4 linked regions of the Astyanax mexicanus genome follow. The protein of the gene in region 1 binds, or shares a complex with, the protein of each later gene. Links are inferred from orthologs where the notes say so. Each region holds a gene or a part of one and is shown in the gene's direction. Other genes may lie near its edges.

What was found.
Region 2: mcm4 (region 1) and gins3 share a complex: the UniProt entries of both Homo sapiens proteins name them as parts of the CMG helicase complex. The link is inferred for Astyanax mexicanus from reciprocal best matches to the Homo sapiens genes MCM4 and GINS3.
Region 3: mcm4 (region 1) and gins2 share a complex: the UniProt entries of both Homo sapiens proteins name them as parts of the CMG helicase complex. The link is inferred for Astyanax mexicanus from reciprocal best matches to the Homo sapiens genes MCM4 and GINS2.
Region 4: mcm4 (region 1) and cdc45 share a complex: the UniProt entries of both Homo sapiens proteins name them as parts of the CMG helicase complex. The link is inferred for Astyanax mexicanus from reciprocal best matches to the Homo sapiens genes MCM4 and CDC45.

The regions. Positions count from the first base shown.
Region 1 is NC_064413.1:413,025-419,988, reverse strand, and holds the start of mcm4 (DNA replication licensing factor MCM4), read left to right. Parts: upstream 1-3,952; 5' UTR 3,953-4,043; intron 4,044-5,200; 5' UTR 5,201-5,212; coding exon 5,213-5,270; intron 5,271-5,663; coding exon 5,664-5,816; intron 5,817-6,111; coding exon 6,112-6,242; intron 6,243-6,367; coding exon 6,368-6,469; intron 6,470-6,964. Other genes in the region: cebpd (CCAAT/enhancer-binding protein delta), read right to left, coding at 1-277. UniProt on the Homo sapiens protein: Acts as a component of the MCM2-7 complex (MCM complex) which is the replicative helicase essential for 'once per cell cycle' DNA replication initiation and elongation in eukaryotic cells.
Region 2 is NC_064417.1:7,533,110-7,541,126, forward strand, and holds the start of gins3 (DNA replication complex GINS protein PSF3), read left to right. Parts: upstream 1-5,004; 5' UTR 5,005-5,143; coding exon 5,144-5,314; intron 5,315-6,867; coding exon 6,868-7,101; intron 7,102-8,017. Other genes in the region: E3 ubiquitin-protein ligase znrf1, read right to left, coding at 19-418. UniProt on the Homo sapiens protein: Required for correct functioning of the GINS complex, a complex that plays an essential role in the initiation of DNA replication, and progression of DNA replication forks.
Region 3 is NC_064416.1:12,866,062-12,873,048, reverse strand, and holds the start of gins2 (DNA replication complex GINS protein PSF2), read left to right. Parts: upstream 1-3,972; 5' UTR 3,973-4,093; coding exon 4,094-4,183; intron 4,184-4,829; coding exon 4,830-4,944; intron 4,945-6,642; coding exon 6,643-6,742; intron 6,743-6,987. Other genes in the region: emc8 (ER membrane protein complex subunit 8), read left to right, coding at 1,034-1,193. UniProt on the Homo sapiens protein: Required for correct functioning of the GINS complex, a complex that plays an essential role in the initiation of DNA replication, and progression of DNA replication forks.
Region 4 is NC_064419.1:34,876,837-34,884,565, reverse strand, and holds the start of cdc45 (cell division control protein 45 homolog), read left to right. Parts: upstream 1-4,712; 5' UTR 4,713-4,845; coding exon 4,846-4,896; intron 4,897-5,126; coding exon 5,127-5,186; intron 5,187-5,333; coding exon 5,334-5,426; intron 5,427-6,154; coding exon 6,155-6,292; intron 6,293-6,397; coding exon 6,398-6,559; intron 6,560-6,661; coding exon 6,662-6,720; intron 6,721-6,843; coding exon 6,844-6,892; intron 6,893-7,307; coding exon 7,308-7,369; intron 7,370-7,450; coding exon 7,451-7,501; intron 7,502-7,609; coding exon 7,610-7,729. Other genes in the region: ufd1l (ubiquitin recognition factor in ER-associated degradation protein 1), read right to left, coding at 778-908, 1,040-1,161, 1,268-1,300, 2,725-2,857, 3,228-3,230. UniProt on the Homo sapiens protein: Required for initiation of chromosomal DNA replication. Core component of CDC45-MCM-GINS (CMG) helicase, the molecular machine that unwinds template DNA during replication, and around which the replisome is built.

The DNA.
Region 1 (6,964 bases):
AGCTCGGCGTGGAGGAGGACATGGAGTCGATGTACGCGCTGAAGTCGATTGCGCTCTCGTCGTCGTAGATCGCCGGCGCGTTGCTCAGCTCCACCACGCCGCCGCCGCCCATACCGTCCTCCAGGTCCTCCGGCCGCGGAGGAGCCCCGGCGGCTTTCCCGTCCGCGGGCGCGCAGTTCGGCCTGCTCTCGTAGAAGTTGGCGGTCTCCAGCGCCCAGTTCAGGCTGCATGGCGGCGGCGACACGCACCGCGAGTCCGGGCTGTAAGTGTCGCACATGGACGCAGCTGAGAACAACTGCGGCTGGAGAAGAAGCGCGCAGGAGAAAGAGAGAGAGAGCGCGAGCTCCTCAAAGTCCTTAAAGTTCCTTCAACTCTTTTAATTCCAAAGTTTCTCCAACTCCTAAACTTTTTTCTAAACTTCTCCAACTCCAATTACAAGTTGTGTTTAATATATCAGCAGGTATCTTGAAGGTAATAACTTGCTGCTATTCTGCTGTTGTGCAGCAGGTGCTTTTATTTCTCATCTAAAACTCTTATCAATATCTCCTCGTATCTCCAGCACCGTGTCTCCAGCGCTCCTCTCCTCGCTCTGCTCTGAAGCGGTTCTTCAGCTCCTGGTAAATAAGTAAGCGCTGCTCCTCTACGTCAAACCTCCGCCGCCCCCTTCCCCAAGCCAGTCACGGCCAGCGCCGGACACGTGGTGCCCCAGCTCCCACCCGGAGCGCACGAGAGCAGGGTGGGTAGTTAGTTGGTTGGTTGGTTGGTTGGTTGGATGCGTGTGTGGAACGCCCACCACGATACTACGAGTAAACTTCAGTGACGAGGAGCAACAAGTCTCAACCGCTCAAGTTTGTACCGTGAAATGTCAAACCTGTGCTTATTGTTCCTGTTCTTCTTCTGCTGCTGCTGCTGCTTCCTTTAGCATGCTCTTCACACATAAACTAGTGCATTAAAAAAAAAAAGGGAAACTCTATATTTTATAGATGTATCACACACAGGATGATCTATTTTAAGCGTTTATTTCTTTTATTGTTGATAATTATTGTTGATTGTGGCTTACGGCCAATGAAAACCCAAAAAATCAGTGTCTCAGAGCTCAGATTTCAAATTGGGCAGTGTGCCAAGTCCTGCTGGAAAATGAAATCATATCTCCATAAAAGTTTTTTTTATATGAAGTGCTGTAAGTGCTGGGAAAACAAAACTGCACTGACTTTATACTTGATAATAAAACACAGTGGATCAACACCAGCAGATGACAGACATGCCTCTCCAAACCACTCTTCCTCCAGACTCTGCTTCCTTGATTTTTCAAATTAAAATGTAAAACTTACTGATGATCAGTGATGGTCTGGAGAGACATGTCATCTGCTGGTGTTGATCCACTGTTAGTGGACACACTTCTATTAGCTACACCAGCAGATTATACAATATAACACTGTTATTAATACATGTTAGCACTTGTTTGTAGACCTGCTGTTTGGCAGATATTTACAGTAACCAAGTAGAACTGATTCACTACTGTACTTAAGGACTAAAATGCTGTATCTGTTTCTACTGGAGAATTATTTTCACTTGCTTTATTTTATTTCTTCTTGTTCTTAGATTATTCCTCCCCCAGGTTCTCAGGCCCCTGATTGGCACCTAATTGGCAGCACCTGTGAGTATGGGCTCTGATACAGTGCTCAGTAGTTCTGCTGCTCCAGGAATCAGCTTCATACCTTGTTTGTTTTCAAGCTGATGTTCCTTAAAACCAGGTTGCAGCATTATTGGCATCATCTGGAGTAAGCCCTGGTACTAGTATCTCCAAATTGAAGGCTGAGTTCCAGATAAATGTTGATGTCAGATACTAGAAGACAATACTCCAAGATCATCAAACACCAAACGGATCAATGGCAGAATTAACTGTTTTTAGTTGGCAGAGAGGATTTATTGGGCAGACTTTGTAATGGGTACACGTACTCAGCTCTGCTGCTCATCCCACAAATACATGTTCCTTACTAATGCTGCTTCAGTTAAAACAGTAATTATCAGGATTTCCAATGTTATAAGATTTATCACCAAGAAGCAGCAAAGTTACAACAAACAAATGGTAATATAAAATCTACCAAACACAAATGTCCTTACTTTTTGTGCTATTTTAATTTTCATCACTTTATTATAATGAAAGGCTAGAGACCCAAACCAAAGGTAGATGTGGGATTATAATTGATATTAAACTGTATATAATAAGTCTGTAAAGGCTGTTAAATGCAGTGTATTTGGCTCCTCTGGGAACATGTGGATCCTGTATTTAAAGGCTGCACATGGCGACCCGCGCTCTTAGAACAGGCGCCACCTGGCGGCCGCAGCTTAAATTACAGGTTTTTACGGGTTTTCCTTTGGCACTCCCTCCTGGTGTTACTAATCCCAATCCAGAACTGTCTGTTCCCTTTTTGTGTGTGTGTGTGTGTGTGTGTGTGTGTGTGTGTGTGTGTGTGTGTGTGTGTGTGTGTGTGTGTGTGTGTGTGTGTGTGTGTGTGTGTGTGTGTGTGTTTTGTCTGAGAGCAGGGCCAGAGACAGACAGCAGGATGTCCATGCAAACAAGTTAATAAATTATAATGAAATAAAAAAAGAGGCAAACTACTGAACTTAAGTTTTTGTGTAATTATTGCTATATATTGTTTTTTATTTTATACTTTATACTAATTTTGTGTCATTTATTGATTTATAATGTTTAAAATGTTCAACTGTCAAATGCTGAATAATAAATAAAGATAATAAAAGTCATTTAAAAATCAATATATTCCTAAAATATTCCTAAAGAAAATAACTGCACTGTCCTGTCTGTTAAACTGTCTCGTCTGCTGTATTTATTGTAGTGTTATAGTTTTATGTCGCACTATTTTTACACTTTTGCACTTTATGTTGTCTATTGTATTATTGTTCCATTTTGCACTACAGTTCCAGAAAAAACGCAATTTCGTTATACTGTGTACCTGGACTCATATGTAATGACAGTAAAAGACTCTTGACTCTTGAAAAATCAAACATTTCATGTCCTCCAAACCTTTCATTGAACAGAAAAGGATTTTCTATGACCAACTCTTGTAGCCCTTTTTCGAGCCAAGGCCTGTTAAGAGTTTACATTAACCCCTTAATGTCATCTAATTTACATAATGAAGGTAAAATTAAAACTAGCTCCTTTAAATAGTAGATTGTTCGGCTTCTACAGCCCTGTTCCCATTATTTCAACAATTTGATCGCTTTAATTGAATGTTTTAAGTTCCATATCACTAGCTTTAAAGGACTTCTGTAGCAAAAAATGCTTTATTTTCTTTTCTATAATTATAAACGTGTTTATTTATTTTTAATGCAATGTTACATGGCTTATCTACTTCCAATACAATGAGACGCACAAGTGAGTTATTAATAAAAGTATTTTTTTAAAATATGTGTGCAAGAACATGTAAAAAAAAATATATATATATATTTGTCTGTTTATATTCTTACTATATTCTTGTAAAAACTAGTGTTTTATGCTCCCTTGCTCTATAACTTTTGATTTAAATGATTAGTTTATAATTTAGATTATATTTGATATATTCACAGGGACTCCCTAGCTTTCAAAAATCGTATTTTTCCTTCAAAAATATATAATTCCTACCATAAAGGGTTAAATAACAACCCCTTATTTAAGTCACGTGGTAGCTCTTCTTTGTCGTCGATATTTGCCGCGAAAACTGTGGATCAAACCAATGTGAAACAAAGCTTTTGTTTATAACACTGATTAAAAATCGCAACTTTAGTTTTATTTTTTAACTTTGTAAGGTATATTTTGTATAAAACTTTTATAAATAGTCATTTTTAGTTGGTAACTTTGTTAAAAACACTTAATATCGATTTAAAACAACAATATCTATTTAGCTACCTCCCTCTGTACATATGGAGTGGATCGTTCCAAGTCTGCACGTCTGTTTGATTGGTCAGAATTTCCCCGCGAAAACGACGTCACGCCAGCGATTTCGCGCCACTCTGCATGTATTTGGAGAGAAGGATCCGCAGTGGTAAGTTCCTCGTGTTTTTTCTTTTGTGTTAAAAAACGCGAATAATTTAAAAACAAGCAAAAGTTAAAACAAGAGTTTTAAAGCGATTCTTTATAATTATAAGGTGTGATTTTGTGATTAACGTAGCTGGAATTACTAATCACTAATTAGTAAATATTAAAAACGTTAAATAAAGTTAGTTGAATTAGTAAGACTTTGGATTTTGATGTTTTGTTATAATAATAAAGGTGTTTTTAATATTGATATGTAGTTAACGATGTATCTGTATGTAAATACGCACGTTTTGTTGATGTTTATCTATGTTTAAACATCTAAAATACACTATTTTACTGATTTTATCTGCCCAGCAACAAGTAGTGGCAAATCCAGGTCCCGAAAGTACGAATCCGCACCGGGATTTCGCACCAACTGCCTGGGCGGCTCTGCTGCAGCTGAGCTGCAGCAGAGCCGCCCAGGCAGTTGGAGCGAAATCCAGGAGTGGAATTGCACTTTCCGCACTATTTTACTATTTTAAACCACTTTTACTATTAACTATTTTACAATTTCACTGTTTTACTTTTTCAGTATTTCAATTCTTATGAATTTATAGCGAAATCCCGGAGTGGATTCGCACTTTCCGGACTAAATTTACTATTTGTACAAACTCTGACGGTACTAATCCACTGTTTCACTATTTTACTTTATTAAGTTACTGTTTTCATTATGAACTGCTTATGGAATTGGAGCGAAATCCCGGAGTGGATTTGTCCTTTCCCGACCATTTTATTATTTTAACTCGTTTTACCAATCCACTATTTAAAAAAAAAAACTATTTTATCTACCTAGCAACTAGAAGTGGCAAATCCAGATCCGAAAAGTTTGGATCCGCGCCGGTGTTTCGCCCCAACTGCCAGGGCGGTTTAGAATAAAAATACTAACTTAGTGAAGTTTGTTATATACTAAAATTAGTAATTTTTTTTTAAATAAAAAAAGTGCAAATCTTGGCAGCTGGAGCGAAATACTGTAGTGGATTTGCACTTTCCGGACCTGGATTTGACTGTAATGCCTCTTTTTAGCTCTTTGTTTCATGTGGAAATAATAAAAAAAAAACTTTGCTTGTTTGCTTACTTTACTGATTTAACATTAACTAACTATGTGTAAAAATGTTTTTATTTTAGTGAGTGTTCAAAATGTCTTCCCCATCCTCGAGCGCCCGCAAGCGAGGCAGGAGCAGCAATCCTCCAACCCGTGAGTTTAAATACAGTTTATTTATTATTTTACAAGAGAAATCTGGTGTGAAATGCACTTAGGTTGTAATAAAACATGATGAAGAGTGTTAACTTTTAACCTTCGTGTATTTGAAGGTAAATACAAGTACTGTCACGATTATATTTTGTAAATCATTTTATCTATATTATAAATTATATTATAATTTTATGACTATTTAAATACCACTGATGTCATAATAAGGGAGAGCATAATATAGCAATTATACTCTTAAAGACAACATTTGAATTAATCATAGATCTATATTTTATTTCTTCACCTGCTGCAGTCTGTTCACACTGTGTATATGGAGTCACTGATCTTTTGTCTGTTGTTTTAATAGTTTAATTGTTTTATTTGTTTGTGTGATTTTAGCTGGTAGTGAGGATGTCCTGTCTCCGTCTCCTCGCGCTCGTGAGCCGTCTACAGGAGAACTGCAGCCCATGCCGACGTCCCCGGGTACAGACCTGCAGAGCCCCGCGGTACAGGACACCTCCCTCTTCTCCAGCCCCATGCCCCGACGCTCCGGTACTACATCTATCTATCCATCCATCGCCAGGGTTCAGGAGAGAGTACTCAGCTAGAGCTTTGGGTATTTTCTGGAGCACAGAAAAGTTATTTAGCAGTTGGTGCACTAACAGGCATTGGGGGAATGCAGGCGCTATCTTGGCAGGTTGATTGAATCAAACGGTTAGTCGCATATTTGCAACAACAGGCGTTAAGGGGTTAATTCTAGATACTTAAAGGTCTAATTCTAGCAGAAATGAGACGCATGCATAAAGAAAGAAACAGGAATATGTACTAAATGCTTTGTTTGATCCAGTTCCTCAGAGTGAAGTGGATATGAGCTCTCCTCTCATATACGACACACCGAGCAGAGGAACGCCGGCTCGACAGAGACCTGATCTGGGGTCTGTCAGAAAGGCTCCGCAAGTGGACCTGAACTCTGACACGGTGAGTGTTAAAGTCTGAGTTATGATTTGATTAGTTCGATTAGTTTAGATCAGTGTTGTATTGATTAGTATTGAGTTATTAGTGTGTGTGTGTGTTAATCAGTGTGAATTTTCTCCTCCTATCAGCCGTCTGGAGAAGCTGCTGTAGCCAGTGAGCAGGCCGCTGGTCAGAGACTCGTCATCTGGGGAACTGATGTTAATGTGGGAACCTGTAAGGAGAAGTTTCAGGTGAGCTCAGAGCAGCATCACACAACATTTCCAAACCTTCTGTTGCAGAACTTTCCTCTGTAGAACATCATAAAATATAATAACACGACACACGAAGAAGAAATGCTAATATTGGAAATATTTTTCAGTTTTTAGCGTGTAGCTACGCACTTTCACCTCCTAGTAGATTTCACATTTCTCCTAATGAGTGTGTGTTTATCTACTGAGCCATTCACTACTTTCATTCACTCTTCATTTTTCTCCAAACTGTCGACACATCACTGCTCGCTCTCTCAGTCTTCAGTTCATTTCCTCTATTAAATCTCACATTTAAACTCAGTAACTTAGAACATCACATTATTCTCATTTTAAAAAGCATCAAACCTATAAAAAAAAGCTCTATATACTTTGCCTAATACTTAATTCACACTCATATCAAACACAGATCAGCCACAGCATTAAAAACAGCTCCTAACATGTATAATCACCTTTATTGTTTCTGCTACCCAACATTAA
Region 2 (8,017 bases), on another chromosome or scaffold:
ACTCAGGCCAGCACTCACCGCTGTGTGCGCTGAACCACCGGGGCGCGATGTGCAGGGGTAACGCGTCCGCCAGGGAGGCGCGGGAGCCCAGGTACAGCACGCCGTCCGTGTGATGTCCCGCGCCGTTTGTGTCCTGGTAGCCGTTGCCGTGAGCCGAGTCCGACCCGGATCCGCCGCCAGCCCGCTCCGAGTCTGTCGTCGCGCCCCGCGCGGTGTAAAACCCGAAGGGCACTGCAGCGTTGTGGTCGATCCCCATGCCGGCCACGGAGCTCACGGAGCGGCTGCGGAGCCCCATCGTTCCGCCGGCTCCGGCTCGGTAGTGGCCGAAGTGGGCCGAAGGCGGCACCGCGCTGTCGTCCGTCGACACGCCGGGAAAGGCTCCCCGGGGCCGCCCCGCCGTGCTCTGTTTGCCCCCCATCCAAGGTGGCCGTGGGCAGATGTGTGTATGTTGTGTGTTTGGGTGGGTGGGGGGTGTTGGTGTTGTTGTGTGGGGGGAGAAAAACAACAACAAATAACAAACTAAAGATGAAAAAAAGAGAACAAATCAGGAACAAGCTAACCTATGTTAATTTCGTAGGTTATATATTGTTAGGATAGCTCAGCCAGCTAACAAATAAAATGCGTCCTCAATCAGATCCTCCCTGGCTGTCAATAAAGTCTGTCTGGAGCAGCTGCTGCTGTGCAAAGCTGTGCTAAGAGACCCAAGAGCCCATCTTCCAGCATGCGACGGCGACCTGACCGTCTCGGCTCACCTCCAGCGAGAAAGAGAGGAGGAGAAGAAGCCCTGAAATCCTCTAGAAATCCCCTAGAACCGCCGAACACAGCAGTCTGACGAAGCCGAGACACCGCGCAACACGTCTCCCCCCGGCAGGCAGGCGGGCGGGCAGGACACAATCACAACACACACGATGACAGCCTAACAGCGACGACAGGTCCGCGGTGGGCTTCAGCTCTCAACCTACTTCCCTTATTCTTCATATTTCAACACCAACAGTGCAGTCCAGCAGCCATGGCATCTGTTGCTGGCCGTGTTTCCCATCGGCGTCGTTTCCCACGTCCCGCTCGTTCTCCGCCAGCGCGGAGATTCAGGTCAGTGTGCGCCGCTCCCTGCACTCACAGCCGTTACGGTTTTTTTCTCTGCACACCCGTTCTCCGACAAGACCCGCCTCCTGAGCCCCGATTGGCCACGTGCGCCCTGCCTCCTGCGTTCTGATTGGATACTTATTTCCCGCCTTCTGCGTTGGGATTGGATCGTGTTTGGTTCTGCTTGACGTACACATTATGTCCAAATGTTTGTGGACAAAATGAATGTATTTTTGCACAAGTTAGAATAATTTACCATACAAAACACGAAAGAATGTTTTGGGTTTTTTTGCGCTTGGTGTTTATAGGAACAGTCGAGACCCGAGCAGAAATACAGAGCTTAGAAAAAGTGAGTTTTGCATAATATGTTCCCTCTAAATTGCACATCATGCTGACAAATGCACACACATTTGCCTGTTCCCTGTGAAGAAGTACTGTCCATAGAAAAGGCATCACATCAGTACAGTATAACATATTTCCATTGGGTCGCAGAGCAGTGGAATTGTGTTCTGGAATAATGGGGATTCCATCTAAAATGTTGGTATCAGTTGGGCTTTGGGATCTGATACTTGCTTCTGGACTCTTGCATTTGGATTTGACATATGTTTGGATTGGATAGTTTTTTTGTTGTTTTGGGACTGGATGGTAGATTTTCACCACTTGCGCTGGAAATGAACAAAATTTCCTTGCTACCTGTGTTGAGATTAAATGGTCCCTTGCTACCTTCTTAGTTTGGATTGGATAGTAGTGTATTACCTTCTGTGCAGGTATTGGACAGTTTCTCACCCCCTGTGTTAGAATTGGACGGAAATGTCCGTCCACTTGTGTTGGTATTAGTTCTGGACCATGGTTTCACACCTTCTGCATTCGGGCTGGATAGTAGTTTTCTACCTTCAGCATGGGAGTGGAAAGTATTTTCTTACCGCCTCAGTATTCCCCGCCAACTCCCAACAATTATTTTACAGTTGAACTGAAAATAATTGGAATAAATAAATGTTTTATATGGTTTACATTAAACATATGTTCATCTGACTTATACATTTTACAGCTACTAATAAAAGCTAATTTTCTTACCTGAATAAGGCTTCTGAACAGTATATAAAACACGTGTGTTTTGTGTGTTTAGATCACAGTAAGTGGGCGGGATTGCCTGAAATCAGGCGGGAAAAAATCGTCTCGCTGCTGAAAGACAATGGAGGCACGCAGCGCGCATGCGCGGATTAGCAGCAGCAGCAGCAGCAGTGTCTGTGCAGAACTGCAGTTATCTCCCATTTATCTTCCAAAACAGCCCTGTTTCAACACAGCTGTGCTGTTTCCCACACAAGCGACTACAGCACAGCAGACTGGGGAATAAAACTATTGTTTACAGCCCTTAGTAAAGGGATAGGAAGAACTAAATATTAAACAGTATGATTTAATAATGCTAATGTATTAATGAAGTGTAACCTGTGACTGTGTTTTACATATGCCCACGATGTCTGTAATTATATTAGCATTTTTATTTGCAGCAAAGCTTCAGAAACTCCAGTAAGCATCTAGAGAAAAATACTTATTTTGTCATGAGTAAAAAAAGTAAAGAAATTAAATAATAATATAATATAATATTTATGCACACACACATATATACAGTAGATTCACCCTCATTAGACATGCACATGATAAGGTGTGTGTGTGTGTGTGTTGATTGGGGCTATATTAAATGGCATTAATTGATAATTAATTAGTTGATTGATCCTAAATAATGCATCACCTTCTCATTGTATTCTAGGTTAATGTTAAAGTCTCCTAAACTATAAAAAAAACCACATGGAATTATTTAGTAAGACAAAAAAATGTTAAACCATAGTATGTTTTTTTATTTAGATTCTTCAAAGTAGCACCTCTTGTTTAAAATCTTGGCATTTATCAGTCAGCTTTATGAGGTAGGCTAGAATGGCTTTCAGTTAACAGCTGTGCTGAGTTAATTCCTCGAATTACTTGAATTTCTTGCCTGTTAATGTGTTTGAAAGGATCAATTGTAAAGTTGTAAAAAGGTTCTGAACTAAGTAAAACACAAAAATACTTTAAAAAATGAAGGTCAGTCAATCCAAAAAAATTTTTTTTTTGAAAGAGCAGTCAAGTGCAGTCGCAAAGACAATTAAAAAACGCAACGATGAAACTCGCTCTCATCAGGACCACCCCAAGAAATGAAGAGCATGAGTTACCTCTGTTGCACAGAATAAATTCATCAGAGTAATTAGCTTTAGAAACCGCAAGTTAACAGCTCCCCAGATAAGAGCACCAAAATGCTAGTATGAGTATTTTGGTTTGTTTAAAACTTTTAAGTTACGAAATGATTCCTTATGTGTTTCTTCATATACTTGATAACTTTAGGATTCATTTGCAATGAAGGAAAATATATATAAAAACAGTAAATGAGAAGGTGTGTCCAAAATGTATATCATCACATAATTAGAGAGGCTGTCTGGATACTTTTTATAACAGTGTAAGGAGGTGTAATTGAGAAACATTGAGAAACTGCTCCATCTTCTGGACAAAGTGATAACATCTCAATCTTCCTCAAACTAATCAAAACACATTGTTTAATTATTTAAATATGATCACGACATGCTAACACATCCCCACGTGCTCTACCAGGCTCATGCGTCATTGGAATTCGTAGGTTTATTTACGTGTGTTCCGTCACAAAAGCACTAAAAAACAAGGTCTTAAATGGACTATTCTTCCTGCATAGTGCATTACACTGATCATAAGCCCTTTCTGTCTACAGTACATTTTATGCCATTTGTGTATCTACATAGGTTATAAAAAAATAGTAAAATAATAAATAATAATAAAATAAATAAATATAAAAAATAGTAGCTAAATAACCTACCATTAGAGAATTACTGGCAGAAATAGCTGTTGTATGTTGAATCAACGTTCATTGTGCCATCTTTAGTGTGTTAAAACATTTTCAATGTCAGAATTGATTTATTTGTGCACATCGATTGTCCAGGAACGTTCCTGATCAATTTCTAAGGTAAGCCTAGTTGGTTTGTTTAGTATAGCTGCTTTTTACATTATATAATTGAACCATTGACATGACCACAGTTAACACGGTAGTACTAAATATAATAAAACCACTGACAAAAGTACATGTAATACAGTACCAGTGTTTTTCTTTAGTTCTTTATTAATTTTTTTCCTACAATGTAGATTAATATAATATGATATTACCAAATGCTGTATCTATATCTACTGGAGTATTATTTTTATTCCTACTTTAACTTTTATTTCACGAGCTACTTATTATGGATGAGTTTAATACTTTTACTCCTATAAATCTTTATGTACTGCATCATTACTCCTTACAATTATAAAAAAAAACGAGGAATCATTCCAAACCCACATTATCACTAAAACCTCCTCATCACTGAGTGAATCAAGAGATCAAAAAAGAATCTGATATTAAAAGAAGAGCTCGCTGCTCCTGTTCTGCCTTTCACTCTGATAACTTTCCTCAGCTTTCTGTAATAACTACACTAATAACACAGTACTGTACTTTTACTTTCAGTACTTAACTTATGTATTTAACCATAAACTATGTGCAATACTTAAGTACAAAAATGTTGAAGTGTGATGCTTTTATAGAACAATCCAATTTGTACTTAAGAGCACTTTTACTGTTACTCAATTTTTTGGTTCTAGTACTTTACTCCGCTCTTTATACGTGTCTGATTAGACGAATCTAAAGTAAAAAAAAAACATATTCTGGTTTGTTAAACACTTTTTGTTTACAGAATATTTCCACACGTTCCTGTATAGCTTTAATGTATTCAATATTAATTTTACAATGTAAAATAAATATATAAAACACATTGATTAGGAAGGAGTGTGTCCGAACGTTTGACTGTTACCTCTGTCATCGATTGCTCTGGCTTGCTCGGTGTGATCTGGGCTCTGTTGTTATGGTTGGAGTCTGGCGCCAATTTTTGTGTTCTGTGAAAGCTCTGAGCTCTGTGTGTGAGACTGGTTCAACGTGTGTTTATCCGTTTCTGGGTGAGGAAGCAGTGTTATTATGGACACTCAGTCCTACATGCCCGTGTCTCCGGGGGTGGGGATGGAGGAGAATTTCCTCTCTCTGGATGATATCTTGCTGTCGCAGGAGCGGCTGCCCTGTAAGACCGACACGGAGTTTCCAGGACTCGGATTTCTGGAGAAGAACGCAGACAGTCGCCACATACCTGAGGTGAACCAGCTAACCTAGCTAACCTAAACTAGCCTAGCTATTCTAGCCAAGCTGCCTTAACTAGCCTTGCTAAACCTTAATTAGTCTAGCTGTCCTAGCCAAACTACCTTAAATAGCCAAGCTAACCCAAACAACTTACACTAAAATACACACTATATTTAACTCTCCCAGGTCGGTTTGGTGCCAAAAGGACGTTTAAAAAACTTTAATATTTGCCAATTCTGCTGCAAAAGTTGATAATAGATTTGTAACCTAGGTTTCTAACTAGGTTAATTTGCTAGTTATTGAGTTATTAGAAATATCTAACTGTTACTGGGCCTCAGCAACAACTAAGTTAACTGACGCCTAATAAACAATGTTAACTTAAAGATTTGTAAAAGTTTGTTTCCCCATAAGTGGCATTAAAATATATAACCTAATGCAATAAAAAATCAACAACTCTTATTCAATTCTCTTTGCTGTCAGGGGAGAAAAGGCTTATGGTTTTCCATGTCCGTATGCCTATTTGAAAGGAACATCCTGCATTGATATTGTTGCATTGAAAAATCCAGTAATATAATAAAATAATAAGTGGTAGGAGCAAAAAAAAAAACCCACTAACTTATCATATGCTTTGTTTCATACAGTTTCCATGTTTTATTTATGTAAAACGGCATACAAATGGGTCTTTTAATCTTTAAAGAAAAACGGTTAAATTCTCTTGATCTTGGAAACATGCTTACACTTTGCTTTATATCTCTTTAAGTTTAGTACATTTTTGTATATATTTTTGTAAACATTGGTAAATATGTTACATATGTTACATGTTTTTCATAGTTTTAACAGGGTTCACATTGTTGTGTTGCATGGAATTAAATGAAGAAGTCAGGGAATTCTTTTATATCATTTATTTGTTCTAATATGTTAGTATTTTTTAAAGTTTTGACTAAGATAATAATTTTTCTTGCATTAAAAACTCTTATAATGCTGTTAGCTTTGAGAAATTAGAATAAATGACTGTAAAGAAGCATATTACAGTATTGCAGTGAAAACTTGTGTGAAAACAATGTGTAGACATTTTATTTATGAATATAAAGATTTTAAAGATTAAAAAAATGTAAATACACTGTCATGCCAAAGTTCTTGGGACAGCAGGTAGTATCTATGGACTTTTGCCATGGAAGCTAAAAACACTGTACTGACCTGTGGGATATGTGGGGCCTCCTGCATTGTGTGTGGATGTTACCAGCTTAACTGTGTACAAAAGTGTCATTTGGCCAAAATGTTGTTTATTTTAAGCCTTACCAGTCTAGCCAAGCTTTTTTGAGAATTACAGCCAAGTGTATGTTTACATAACATACACTGTTGTGTTATAAAATATAAGTAATGTAATTGTCTGGTTAATTCTTCATGTAAACACTAATATTTTAGTAATGCTAGGTTGTATATTTCTTAAACATTTACAACATTAGTACAAAGACAGTTTTGTTTATTAAATAAAATTGTAATTTGTTTCAGCATTTACAGATACAGTATGGTAATATATTTTGGGTATGTGTTGGCGTGTTTTCTAGGGCACGAAGATGGAGATGCCGCTGTGGTTGGCTAAGGGCTTGTATGAGAGGAAGCGGCGGGTGATCTCTGTGGAACTGCCTAAAGTGTATCGCGAGGGCTGGAGGACAGTGTTCGGAGCTGATGCCAACGTGGTGGATCTTCACAAAATGGGACCTTACTACTACGGTCTGGGTTCGCAGATGCTTCACTTTGACAGCCCAGAGAACCTGGAGATCGCTCAGACTGTTCTACAGGTGAGTTCTTCCCTCAGGGGAGCCTTTAATACATGAAAGCAGTTCCCTAAAACAGGGCTGAGTATCATTACAATGCAGTGATGATAGAGAATGACAGCATCTGTCGGTTTGTGGGGTAATCTGTTCATAATTAAAAAGGTGTAATGTCGGGAATGGGAAGGTGTTGATAGGCTGGAACAGAAGCTAACACTTTTTCAGGGCAACTGGTACAACAGTCTGTTGATAAACTGAGCAGACTGGGTTTAATTAGTGAACATTACCTCAGGAATGCTTTATACATTATACAGCATTTCTCAAAAGTAGATAAAGCAGCACAGCTATCAGAGCTTCATGATGATAATTATGATGATTATTCGTCCACAGCCCAGACTTTTTCTTGCTACTCTTACCGCTGCAAAGAAAACTGTTTTCTAGTTCTGGTTTAACCCCCGCTTCCCTTATTCTGTACTTAGCTTTCAATACTCTGCTCAGTCGTAATTCATAAATGATCATGCACTAGACTCCAAGGAGCTTTAGGTAAAATTATTAACATGTGGTCAGATATGGTCATCATATCAAAGTTTTTCTTCTTCTTTTACATACATATTTATTCATGTTTATCCGTTTCACCCGTATAATGAATTTTGTTTTAGTGTAAGTATGTCTATTATTTTCCTGTTGCTATAACACTTTGTGTGTACTGTACACCTACTGTACATCCTCTCATTTAGTGTTTTTATGTTTTTTATACATTGTAAATTAATATTGACATCATCCAGACTATGAAGGAACAGATATAAAATCATTTAGTAACTTAAAAGTGTTAAGCAAACCAAAATATTCTGTGAAGTATTTAGGTGCTCTTATCTAGGGAGCTGTTAACTTGTGGTTACTGAGACTGGTAACTCTAATGAACTAATCATGTGCAACAAAGGAA
Region 3 (6,987 bases), on another chromosome or scaffold:
ACTTTCAACGTAACACACAGTTAAAATGTGAGTTACAGAAGGAAATGTCTGCCCACTAAACATACATAACTAATATTCTGTGAAGTGTTTGATAAAATACATTTAATTGTAAATTAAATAAGAAATGTAAGGTTGGCAAAATTAAATAATATTTTTATATTTTAATTTTGTGGTTAGTCATGATTAAAAGTGTATATTAAGGTCACAAATCTGGTACTTCCCTGAATTTTTGGGAGATATACTAGTGTGATTTGCCTCTAACTCTTCTAACTCTAACACTAATCAAATTACTGTTTTAATGTGATTTTCAAAATAGGATAATCGAGATTGTAGATATGTACATTTAGAGCCTGGAAGAGGGAATCTTAGGTAATAGGCTTGTGTTTCTGTTAAGATACCTTTAAAGAACTCTCTCATACGGTGTATTTTACAGTTATTTTCATATGTTTCAGTTTTCTTTAACTAAAAGTGGGTTAGGTTTGTATCTTATTTAGAGCTTGCACAGTTTTGACTCCCTTGAACATGAATGTTTGTATACTTGATATAAGGCTGTAAATGCTGGGCGCCAAGCGGTCCAGCAGACTAAAGCGCTGCCACTACGAGCGGAGGTCGCAGGTGGGGCATCACTAGTGATAGGGGGAGTCCTAATGAGTGGGTTGGATAATTGGCTGTGCTAAATTGGGGAGAAAATGGGAAAAAATATAAATTAAATTTATAAATAAAAAAAGCTGTAAATGCTGTTTGTTTGTTTATTTATTTATATTATGTTATCCTAAAATAGAAACTGATTAAAACTGTCTTATCAGTTGATGTGTATCATAAGGAACTAAAAACATCTAAATTGTAATCAAGAATTGCATATAAATTTGCAGAATTTCAAGATTTTATCGTTTTACGATATCGCCCAGCTCTAATCTCAGGGTAGTTTTAGTGCTTTTTAAATTAGAATCTTTTAATGTGTTGAGTAACATTTTACAAGAGTTTGCATAAGTATCTGCATATGACTGACTGTGGATTTTGAATCTCATTTCAGAGACTCTTTTGAAGACTGGACAGAAGCTCAGAAGATCACGTCAGCCCTCCTGGAAAACAGGTCCTATGAAAACCTCATAGACTTTGACAACCACCTGGATGACCTCAGGAACGACTGGACAAATCCTGAAATCAACAAATCTGTGCTGCATCTATGCTGAAGCCGTCGAGGAGATCTCCTGTACTGTTCAAGCCATCAATGCCAAAATGGGTTGCGTATTGTTACTGAGTTCAGTCCCATAGAAAGATTATTCCCAATGGGAAAAGCTGATGGAAAGGACGCATTTCTAAAGGGCAAGCAGGACACTGGTACAACATGTGTAATGAAGGTCTGAGATGATTCTGACCTTCATGGCATGATTTATATTTTGGTCTGTTTTTCTTTTTTTCTGTTGTCAGGCAGCAATTTATATGCATCCATTTGACGCACAACCTTATTAATTTGGTGGTTTATAGCAGATTACGATCAGTTCTACTTTTTTCACGTCGTTAAGTTTTCTTTTACTAACAAAGCTTAATTTTCCACTTCACTTTATTGTTTATTTTGAGCAAAATAACTTGAATCAACACAGATCCAACTTTTCTTTTCTTACATACTAACCTGGTTGGATTTGTGTTTTAATTTCTGAATTTTATTAATCAATCTGAAACACAACCACAGATCCTTTAAAAATGGGATGGAAATTGCAGCATTGCGTATTTTTCCCATTTCAGCTGAAGTGGCTGGTCAAGATTATTTACCACCTTAAATGCAAATAAGGTCCATTTAAGCGTAAAGCCATCAGCTTGAAGGACTTATTTTAATATCCATACACAATACAACTGTAAATGCTAGAGAATGATTCAGATGTGTTTTTTTTTTTCAAATGTAATTGCTTGTTTGTTTTCCCTGAATTCTGTAGCCTTACAGAGATAATAAATAATCGTTCAGAGTTTATGTTAAAGAAAATTGTTTATTTCACTAATATTTTTAATGTATATACCTCTTTTAAGATGCAACTTTAAAAGAAGATTAGTCTTAATATGTAAGCAATTTTTGATGCTCTACCAAATATGAGTTTAGTTTAATAAGGCACAGGTGATATTTGTGTTAAAATGATTGATTTGGAAGTTGTGTAATTCAGTAATATTCACTGAGGACTGATAGGATTAATATAATTATTAATATCATTATTAAAATATGATTGAGATGATTGAAATTAGCTTTTGTAAAACTAAATGTAAGAATAAAATCTTTTGAAGAAATCTTTGTACATTCTTTTTTTGACACTGTGTCTTATGGGTATTTAAAACAAGAACCAGCAACATGGATGTATTTGTCCACTGATTTTTTTCCACAGTATTGCTTTCAGTCATACTGGTTATTTATTGTATTGTGTCGCTGTGTATGTCGTTTTGGATCGTTTGTTTTTACTTGAGGAATCAGGAGCATGACCAGTTGAAAAGCAGTACAGGAACTAAAAACTCTAACAATGAAATTAAACACAAAAGAGCAGCGATGGCTTATAAATAAAAGCAATATAAAATTAGAAATAGAATGTAGATTCTCACCATCACAAACATGAAAAAAAATACACAGCCACAATAACTGCATTTATAAATTTCAAATAACCAATGAAAGCATACCTAAACTATCAGTAGTAAATCATGATGGAATGTACTATTTGCAGTACTGTGCACCCTTTTCGACACAGAATCACATTTTTTATTATTTCTCTCAGCAATAAAGAGAGTTTCTACAGGAGTATAAAACTTTCTATTTCCAAATCATGGTTATTATTTAAAAAAAAAAAAAAAACAACAAACTAAAAAAACTAAATCAATAACTAAAAAAAATAAAAAAAACAAAATCACAGTTCTGTCGCCTCCTGGTGGCTAGGTCACGTGGTGATTACAGGCTAAACCAAAGGACCAAGTGAGAAAACCCACTTGGGTTTGTGACGAATTATTGTCCAAAATGTATGGAAAACAGAGTTTATAAATGTTTGATTATTTGTACACTGACAATTAAACTAATTTCTTCAACATCGAAAAATATAAACTGTATCATTGCTAACTCCAGTTATAAACCTTTAAACAAATGGTAAACAAGTACAAAACAGGAATTATTTTGCATATATGAAATTGTAAGGTGTTTCTTATGGATTGTTTGTTTTATTTGTTTTTGTGATACTTCACAGTGTAACAGACATGTATATTAGTTATGTAAATAACAAAATAAGCTAAATCTTCCACCAATACATTTTTGGATTTTTTTTAATAAACTAAACTAAAACCAGTCAGCTCACAGTAGCAGTAATGCAAACACCTTTACTGCCTAAAACATTTTTTTAAGAAACATGGAAATATGCAGGTCATTGTATTAGCAAAATAATGTATTTTAAATCTTACAATTAAAGGAATCTCTTGTAGTATTAATTTACTATTTGTATTATTATTATTTTTTTTTTGCAATTTAGCTGATTAGATATGGAGTCCTTAACCACACTGGCAGAGAGGAGAGCCCTCAGCAAGCTGCTGAACACCTTCCTCTGCTCAGCACCATCACCAGACAGAGGAGCACATTTAGTGCACATGCTGTGCCAGTTATGGGACCATGGTTATTGAACCAAATATTACTTTCTGAACTCTTAAAACTTTATGAATATGAGCTTTTATTTTTACATTATTTGAGGTCTGAATCTCTCTCTTTTTTATTATAGCCATTTCTTATTTTCTGCAAATAAATGCTCTAAATGACAATGTTTTTTTTTTATTTGGAATTTGGGAGAGATGTTGCCCGTAGTTTATAGAATAAAACAACAATGTTCAATTTACTCAAACTTATACCTATAAGTAGCAAAATCAGAAACTGAGGTGCTCCATTCACTCCCATTCATTGAGGTCTTCCTCGCTGGCTCCCTCTAGCGGCGGGTTCTGATATAACGGGGGGCGGCTCCGGCTAAACCACGGGGCTGTAACGTCACGCAGCCTGTCTGAACAATCCGCGGGAAAAGCGGAGCTGAGTTTTCGGGGGATTTAAGGATTATTCTCGGCTTTTCCGTCGATATTTCAACAAAGCATGGATCCGTCTGAGGTGGAATTCCTCGCTGAGAAGGAAATGGTGAAGATTATCCCGAATTTTAGCCTGGATAAGATCTATTTAATCGGGGTGAGTAACGTTAGTTTAGTGTGTGTTAGCTTAGCATAGTCTCCCCTCAGAGGCTGCCTGATTAACTAGCGTTACGTAAGTTAAGTTAACTCTAGTTAATTTAGCGAGTTATAAACTTATACATTTAAGTGTTTATCCGACAGCAGCAGCAGCAGCGCTGTTTTGGGGGTTAATGGGGCTGTTCGCCGGTGTTCTGTCGAGTTATGCTACCCATCGATATGTGCTTTTTTACGGCACTGCGCATGCGCCGACCAAAAGTTTATTTTTGTACTCTTTCTATAATTAACTTACTTACTTTTTATTTTTGGGTAATAAACATCATCTTTGCATTTTTGTACTGTAAATAGCAGTTAAAAATAATAATTAACAATAAAAGATAAAAAAAAAACAATATTGTTGTATGACCTTACCTTTTTTTATTTTACCTGATAACGTTAACGTTACAGTGATTTAACTTAGCCTATCCACATAACGTTACCTCACCTAGGCTTCTGCTTTGAGTATTTTCTAATATGTTTTTTTTTTTTACTTTGACCTTTTTATATAAATTAAATACCACTAGGGTAGCACGGTTTGACAAGGTAGCACAACTCGACACAACACCGGGTTGTTTATAAGCTCTTGTGTTGTGATCGTATATTTGTAGGGGGATCTGGGTCCGTTTAACCCCGGGCTGCCGGTGGATGTGCCGGTCTGGCTGGCCCTGAACTTGAAGCAGAGGCAGAAATGCAGGATAGTTCCTCCAGACTGGATGGACGCAGGTAACCAATCCTCACTCTGGGGTTCTGGGTCTTTCCTAAAATAATTAAGCATTCATTATTCACAGTTTATAACTTTTAATAGCTTTTGGATTCCTTGCACTGTTAGGAGTGGGCGATATGGCCCTAAAATAATATCACAGTATTTTTGGCGATATGACTAAACACAGATAAAAAAAATAAGAAGAAGATTATGGTACTACAACAACAAAATTATTATTTTTTTAATTTTTACGGTTGCATGTGTTATGATATGGCACACCCCTAACTGAGATATTAAATAATACAAGATTTATCAGATTTATAACAGACATCAATAATCCAGAATGTCATACTAATCATACACTCCAAATATCTCCATATTTCCAGGTTTAAAGAAAAAAAAATTATACTGGACAGATATAGTCTGTCTCTAGTAGATTTATAGTTGTAAATGAAAACAGCGTGAATTGTTCTTTTGGGAAATATCGCAAAAAAGTAATGCACTGATGTTTTAATTAGGGGTTAGTGATATGGCACAATGTTTCACACTATTTAAAATGTAGGCAATATTATTGTGTAGGATACAATATCGCACACCCCTACACTGTCCCAATGTTTGTGGTTACCCCTTCTAAATAGGGCTAACCGATTAATTGCAGAAAAAAAAATCATCAGACTAGTCAGCTATCAAAATAATCACTAGTTGCAGCCCTACTTCTAAATGCACATGAAACTTATGCCGACTATACACCAAACTATTTTCAAGCGATTTTACTGTTGCAGACAAATTTCTGGTGTAGGGATAAAATAATAAAAGTCTTTCTAGAGTTGAGTTGTGGTCGCACTACATCTTTCAGTGGTTAGGATTGAAGGTTTAAGTCTCTTTCTCGCCCTGGCCTTCAGATAAAATGAACCCTTTTTAATATTATTGTAAGTCTTGAGCCTTGGCTCACGCAAATAGTGACGTGAACAATGTGACATACTGTAGGTTACATTAAGGGGAATACATTGACACAAAAGGATAATACTTATAATAAAAAATCGAGCTACAGATGAAAGGAGCCTGTCAAAATGGAATGTTTTTTTTCTTTTATATACAGTGCAGAGGAAGCAGTTAGAATATGGTTGCTCAGCCTTTATTACCAACTTTATTCTCCATACAAATGTTCTGCACACGCACCTAAACACACTACAGAGACACTTATAGTCAGGTCTAGAATAATCATTCCTACTTTAGCATCTGTCTGTTTCTAAACGAAGCAAGTAATTCTCATTAAAAAAAGTTTACTCTGCTTTGATTGTAGGGATACAGAGAATCATAACACTATTAATTAGGAAGTAGGAAGGCTGATCATCCAGACTGAGGAATAACTATTCAGTTTAGCTGTCTTGTAAAATACACAACAACATTTGTCTGTATTTAGGAATGTGTATTTAGTTACAAGTTTGGGTTGATTCTGTACTTTACAGACTGTTGGGAACCCTCTTTGTTGCCCATGCCCATTTTTGCATGTTTTTTTTTCACTTATGAAGTTATGTTTCACATGAATATAAACAATCAATAACATTTACCTAACACAAATTGGATCCTGTTTAAATTTTGCTTGGGATCTATTAACATACATTTACCTGACAGCCTTTCACAGCTTCACAGCCTGTTGTGTTTTGATCATGTTTCCCATAGCTTTATGTAATCTCTCAATTTTCTGTGCCTTTTAGATAAACTGGAAGAAATCAGGGAGCAGGAGAGAAAAGAGGACACCTTCACTCCCATCCCCAGTGCTTATTACATGGAATTGACCAAATTGCTACTAAACCAGTAAGTTTAAGTTTAAGCCTGCATGGATAATGTGGCATTACTTTTATTTCTGGAGTTGTATGTCACAGCAATGAATAGTATCTCACCTGAATAGACTGTTCTTAATAAACCTTCAGATAGCCATTTCTAAACATTTCCAAAAACAATGTTGCTGAGGACTTATTATTGACATTGTCATTACTGACATTTACTTATTGGACTGCTGTAAAGAAGTCACATATTAAATATTTCAATGGTTTACTCTG
Region 4 (7,729 bases), on another chromosome or scaffold:
AAAATGAACATTGTTGTTTTATTTTATAGACTACATACAACATTTTTCCCAAATTCCAAATAAAAATATTGTCATTTAGAGCATTTATTTGCAGAAAATGAGAAATGGCTAAAATAATAAAAAAACAAGATGCAGAGCTTTCAGACCTCAGATTATGCAAAGAAAACACGTTCATATTCATAAAGTTTCATAACCCTGGTTTTTAATCACAGTTTTAATGCATGGCATGTTCTCCTCCACCAATCTTACACACCGCTTTTGAGTGACCTTTTTTCACTCCTGGTGCAAAGAATTTAAGCAGTTCTGCTTGGTTTGATAGCTTGTGATCATCCATCTTCCTCTTGATTATATTCAATAGATTTTCAATTTGGTAAAATTAAGGAAACTCATCATTTTTAAGTGGTCTCTTATTTTTTCCAGAGCTGTATACAGAAGTGATATTCAGTATCCCAGTAGTAAATGTTAGCTATCTGCTAAAGTACTGGATAGCTGAGTGGGGCACATTTCACAAAGCCTGCCCTTGATTATCTGCTTTAATATGCTTGTAATGGGTCCTCACACTTTCAGGATACATAATAAAAAGTGGGTTTTCATCAGGGTCTTCAAACAAAAAAGGCTTCCTTTTCATTCTCCACAATATTACTGCAGTAAAAAGATATGCGGTCATGTTTAAGAAAGATGTAGCGACAGAGACTCTACATGCTTTGTTGGTGCCCCTTTAATTTCCTTTACAGCTTAGCTATTGAGTGCAGTATGTTGTTACACTGGATTACTTACACAGCTTTAGGGTTTGTGATGTCCAAGAAGTCTGGACTCTGAGGCTGAAATTTGGAGTAAGTTGCCACCATGAGATTGACACTCTCAACCTGGACCAAACCTCCTTCTTCCAATAACAGGTTCTGCATCATCTGTGGGACAAAGACAATATTAAGTTCACGGATCAGAAGAAAAACAACACACAGTAGTTTACGCACCTACAAAATACTACACTCTTCGGCTATAATGTCAAGAATAATAAGTGTTTGTTTTAGTTTATTACCCAGTGGGGAAGGTAGCAGATCCCTTCATCAGCAACAAACTCCAGGACACCACAATGGGTCATTCTGTCTGAGTTCTTATTGGTGAGTTTGAACAGCATGGGGTATGTGATGTTAAGTCTGCCTGTTTAAGGATAAGGAAGGTTTTATTCAGTACATCATATCATTTCATACAACTACAGTGGTACAGTGGTCTCGTATTAGAAAACAGTATTAACTTATGAACTTACTAAGCTGGTCCAGTGCTGATGGGGGCATTATAACTGGCAAGAGAAGGAAGAGAGTATTACACACTCAAGAGGAGTACAATCAAGAGACAGTAGCCCATCTAAGCCTACGCTGGATATACATAAAACACACACACACACACACCTATGCCTATACTGTGTCAACTGATATATAAAAATACCATATAATAAATGTTATTCTTGTTGTTATCAATCATGATTAGATTCATTAATATCACATGAGTAGGCCCCATGTGCAGTGTACAACCCAGGTGGAGCTCATGTTTAGACCCTCCTTGCCCCATCACTAACATTAATATGTGAGGCCAACATGGAACCCATGGACAAAACGTACAGGTTCCATAATGTCATTTCAAAACTCCAAATATCTGCAGTGCCACCACAATACACAAAGTGCTGGGGACAGACACACAATGTGAGAAGGATAATGGGCCCATTCACAGTTCTCTGTGTCTCCAAAAGTGCACAAACACAACAGATTACTGTACCATGTAATTGTGAAGGAAATAAAGATATACAGGAACACATTATTTGGAGCTCTATTCTAAGACATACCCACATGGGGTTCTGCACTATAAGCCCCTGTTGGCACAGCCTAAGCTTTTGTCCTTAATGCATTTTCCCCCTTATGTTACTTTTATTTTCATACTTTTAAGTAGTTTTGAATTCAGTTCTTTTTACACGTTTACTTTTAGTAAAAAGCTTGAGTTGATCCCAGCTGGCATTTCAACATTGAATCAACATTAATGTTATGGTTGAATCAACCTTGGATTTGGTGTTGATTTTGAAAAGTGAATCAACGTTGATATGGCGTGTACATTCAACCTTTCATAAACCATAGCTCATAAAAACTAGAAAATTCTATGGTTAACTATAGTTTATAGTGAACTATAAACTTACATCACTGCACTAAAGCTGAGTAAAAAGGATGTTACCCACCACTATCAATCAGATTAAACGTCTAATCTCAAAAACACAACAGTAAGACTAATAGAACATACTCATTTCCCCAGGTATGGCGAAGAATTGATGCCAAATTAAAAAGCAATTACTGCAAATGGAAGCAAAACCACTTTTTCATCCTTCCATCCTTTTTTTTTATATAGTGATGAAATGTAAAATGCTAATTCAAAAGGCAGAAGGTTAAGGACATTATGTTGATTCGACGTGTAAATTTTAACGTTTTCACAACCACTTAACATTAAATGTTAAAACAGACGTTACTTCAACCATATTTCAGCCACATTTTACCGTTGAAGGTCGGTTGTTTGCCAGCTGGAGATACTAATTAACTTCTACAGAAGTATTTAAACCCTAGTATCTATATTTCTACTTGAGTAATGAATGTGAATTCTTTTGAAACATTCGCTACAATAAGACACAGAATATAGTATCATGTCTTAAAGAATCATCACACAAAAACACTGTAAATGTAATACTTTTTCCTCCTTTTTCCACGTCTGAGCGGTCATTGGGTCCCGCCAGCATCGACACCGAGTAGCAGCGGTACTGTGTGGAGAAGCGGTTCTGGAAGGCCCGAGGCATCGGGTGATCAAACATGTTGAAGGAAAACTGAAAACGTAAAAACAATATAAAGCAGATTAGCGAAATGATGGGCTGATCTCAGGCCTTACCGACTAACCTCGCTAGATTACATTCACCCCTATAATATTACACACAACAACTAACAGCTACGGAACCTCATATCTTCAACTACACCCTGAAACTAAAATACTGAACACCCGGTTTCACCAAACCCAGTAAAACTACAGAGCAGCTTCAACTGAGAACACAAAAACAAAAGGGCTGACAGTGACAGTGCAGCTTTAGTCGCTAGCCTAGCGTAGATTTACCGGCTCTTTAACACACACAACTAACTATTTAAACCAGCACACCACCCGCATTCATCAGCTACAAACGTGGCAAAGCTTCCAACACCCACCATGTTGTCTGAATACGCTTTACTTCTCTCAGAAATACTGCAGAAATCAGACTAACGCTACTGTACAAAAACACACTACTATCCTCTTCCCAGGGAAACGCTGAGTATACAGGATGTGACGCCTCCCCACAACAAAACACCTCCGCCCAATCAGATCACTGCAACGCCATGCCGTCATCAAATTACTCCAAACAGAAGCTCATTTTATATTTATTATTTATATTTTATACATTTTATATACTATTTATATATTATACACAAATTGGAAATACAAAATAAAACAAACAACCATAAAACCAATAAACTGAGCAAAACATTTATCTTAACATCACATCTAATTAATCAACTAACAAATTTAACTAATAACTTCATAACTTCATAGCTCATAACTTCATATACTTCATATACATTCATGTTCATAGAACAGAGACTCCATAAATAAAATAAATTCAACAAGAAATACACTTAAAATTGATTACCTTTACCAAATAATTTTAAATTGTGCTGATAATTTCCCTAAAATGATCATCAGATTTAATAAGTAAAATTCACAGCAAAGACATTAAAGTTAAAACGATAAACGATATTTAAGCATATTTAAGTTTTATTAGAATCCCATATTTTTTGTTGCTGTTTGTTTATTTACTTTCGTTTATTTTTATTGGATATATATGGTATGTGAACACGTGCTTTAAGCAAACATATAAAATATATAAAGCTTTAAAAGTATATATATATATAAATATATATATATATATATATATATATATATATATATATATATATATATATATATATATATATATACTTTTAAAGCTTTAAAATCCAGTTATAAGCCTTTAAACCTGCTCTGCCTGATACTTCAGCATCATCTCAGCAACTCACCAGTCAGCACTCAGTAGCAGCAATGCTAGGGCCTTTACTGCTTAAATCCAATTTTCTGTAAAACAATACTTTATTTTACTTTTTAAAATGAACGGAAACATATTGGAAAGGTAGTTAATTACTATACGTAATTTGAGTTTTTAGCCGTTTAGCTATATTTTTCTACGTCCATTGAGGTCTCGTTCGCTGGCTCCCTCTAGCGGTTCGTACCAATAATCAGATTAAAATAGGGCGATAAGAAGTGGCCAGGCTCTCTACATACTGGCTCTCTTTAAACTAACACTGACACTGACTAACACTGCGTTAACAAATATGTATGCAATATTGTAAATAAATTAAACAAAAGCATAAAACATCACTCATTATATTTGTCGTAACAAATATCTGTATCTGTTTCAACGATGCTGCGTAAAAAAATAAAATAAAATAAAATCGAGTACAAAATGTCACCTTGAGCCATTAAATACGAGCAGTTTAGTGATTGGTTTGACAATCTGTGCGACCCGCCTCCTTTAACTCAGGGAGTGAATCTGATTGGTTAGGGCTTGCAGATTTGACAAGATGTAACAGCTGTCACCTGATTGGACACTGCGACAAAGCCCGCCTCCTCTTGTATGAACGAATTTGGCGCCAGAGTTTCTGGACGGAAAGTCGCGAGAATTAGCAAAACAAGCTGATTTACCGAGCCTGCAGCGGGACTGAGGGGATTTTTATGTGTTTTTGAGATTTTAGGATGTTTGTTACCGATATTAGGAAAGAGTTTTATGATGTTGTGGTTAATCAGGTGAGGCGTTTCTCGTTTTAACGTGTTATAAAAGAGTTTAGTCGAGTTTAACCCGGTGGCTAGTTAAACTAGCTATGCAGTGTTAGCCGGGCGACCGTGATTGTACCTTACCTAGCTAACTATCTACCCTTTTTTGACGTTGACTCGCTGAATTCTGTGGTGTGTGAGTTAGTTTATATGTGTATTTAGGTACATTAATGTCTAATTTTTAATATGTTTTTGTGTTTAAGCGAGTGGCCCTGCTTGTGTCCGCGGATATTGACGCGCTGTGTGCCTGTAAAATACTGCAGGTTAGTGTCTTTCAGCTCATAAGTAACAAGCCTAAATAACCAGGTTCACTAGTCGGGATAAATTCCTTGTGTAGATCCGAGGTAGTTAAAGGTAGTTAAACAGTTAAAGTCAATTTATCTCATTTTAACCCTATCGTTTTTTTCTAGGCCTTGTTTCACTGTGATCATGTCCAGTACACTCTTGTTCCTGTGACAGGCTGGCAGGACCTTGGCACTGCTTTCCTGGAACATAAGGAACAGGTAACTTAACAGTGTTAGTTATTGTTAGCTAACGTTAGCTAGGTGTACACATGTTCTACGTAGAGAAAACATAACTTACCTATGTCACATGACTATTCTATTGTATTAAGAAAACAAAACAAAAAACTAGCTACACAATACATTTTTCTAAGCATAGATCGATAGATAAGGTAGATACAGGCCTCTCACGATAATTACATTATCAACTTATTTTACAATAAATGTACATTCAATTCAAAATCACTTTATTTGAACATAAGGAGAGATTTATAATAAATTTGATTATAATTTTAAGTAAACATTATATAAATAAAATAAAATTTGCAGCATAAATTTGTTAAATTAGATTATAAATAAGAAATGTTTAAATTTGTAGTAATAAGTTTGTGGAGTAATAAGAGTATACTTGGTTTGTTATTCTGTTATCATTATTTTAGTGACAATTAAATAGTCTTAAAATTACAATTTTTAGCATTGTTTATCGCAATAGAAATTTTGACAGGCCTAGATAGGTAGATCACTTTGGTCATTCTAGAAGGACATTCACAATTTCACAGACCCTTTACTTAGTATCTGACAGTATATGATTATTTGTTTGTATTGTTTTGTTTTTCTCATGTAGTTACTGATGCATGTCAAAATGTCAGTCAACATTGTGAACATCTTTAAATAGTCATTAACATTAAGGGTACTGTATGTTGTTTTAAATGTTTTCTCTCTCTTTACAGTACCAGTATTTTGTCCTAATTAACTGCGGGGCAAACGTGGACCTGCTTGAGACTTTACAGCCTGAAGAGGACTCTGTCTTCTTCATTTGTGATACCCACAGGCCTGTTGATGTTGTCAATGTTTACAATGACACCCAGGTGCTCCTTCTTTTGTTTGTTTTAATAGAATTTTATTAAATTGCTTTTTCTAATCTGTGTTTTATGGATCTTAAATTATGTCATTAAAATGTATTGTTGCTTTAGATTAAGCTGCTGATTAAACAAGATGATGATCTTGGAGTGCCCTCGTATGATGACATTTTCCGTGATGACGAAGATGAGGATGAGGACGGTGATGGAGGGGATTCTGGGAATGAAAGCGATGGCGGGTCTGAGCCATCTGGTAAACGGCGGCGGTTTGACGAGGCAGGTTTTCTTCTTCTGGACCCAGTCACTGAAGAAATGTGTTCCCATATTTGTAATTCCTTCCCATTCTAATGATTTTCAGTTTTACCTTTATTATTTCAGGGTGCGTTGGAGAGGAGAATCGAAAGGCAGCGTGCAAAGAGGGAGTGGGAAGCTCGCAGGTCAGTTATGCTGAGTTGACTGAATAAATGCCATATATCTATTACTGGTCAAGTAGTCCAGTTCATAATGCTATTTTTATACAAACATGCTTGTAACCTCCTAATGGTCCTGTGTGTTTGCAGGCGGGAGATTCTGTTTGACTACGAGCAGTATGAGTATCACGGAACTTCGGTGAGTATTCACATCTATGATATGATGGCTTGACTAGGATTTTACTAATATGTTGATGTTAGCAATATAGATAAAATTCATTGTACCTTTTTTTTTTTTTCTTCAAAACATGCTTCTCTCTGTCCATCCAAATTGGTTCAATTAATTGTTAACATGCCCGAAAAGGTTCATGCTTGCTGTTGGTACCTTTATCCTCCTAGTTTTGGGGTGGTGCAGCTAAGTGAGTGGGGTAATCAGCATAATAAAACTGGAGAAAAATGGGATTAAAAAAAAAAAACCATTAAAATATTTTTTTTTATGTTTTGCTTTATAAAACAGTGATTGTTTTTTGTTGATGTGGGTAAACATTGGGCTGTTAAATATTGGGATTATGTCTTAGTGTTTGAGTGCCTTAATTATTTTGTCTTTTTTCTAGGCTTCTATGGTTATGTTTGAGCTGGCCTGGGTTATGACCAAAGACACGAAAGATATGCTTTGGTAGGTGTTTGGACAACTAAAGACTAATACATCAGTATTCATTCTATAGAAATGGGATTGTGACTCTTGTGTATTTGACAGGTGGAGTATTATTGGTCTAACTGATCAGTGGGTTCATGATAAAATCACCCAGTAAGGATTTTTTTTTTTTTTTAATTCTTATGTATTCCCCTTTTCACAGTTTATTTGGCATATTTTTCTTAAAATGTAACGGGTGGTGTATACCTTCCTCTTTTTCAGTATGAAGTACGTAACAGACATTGCTACTCTGCAGAGGCATGTCTCTCGTCATAACCATCGCAATGAGGATGAGGAGAACTCTCTCTCTATCGACTGTATGAGGATCTCCTTCGAATATGA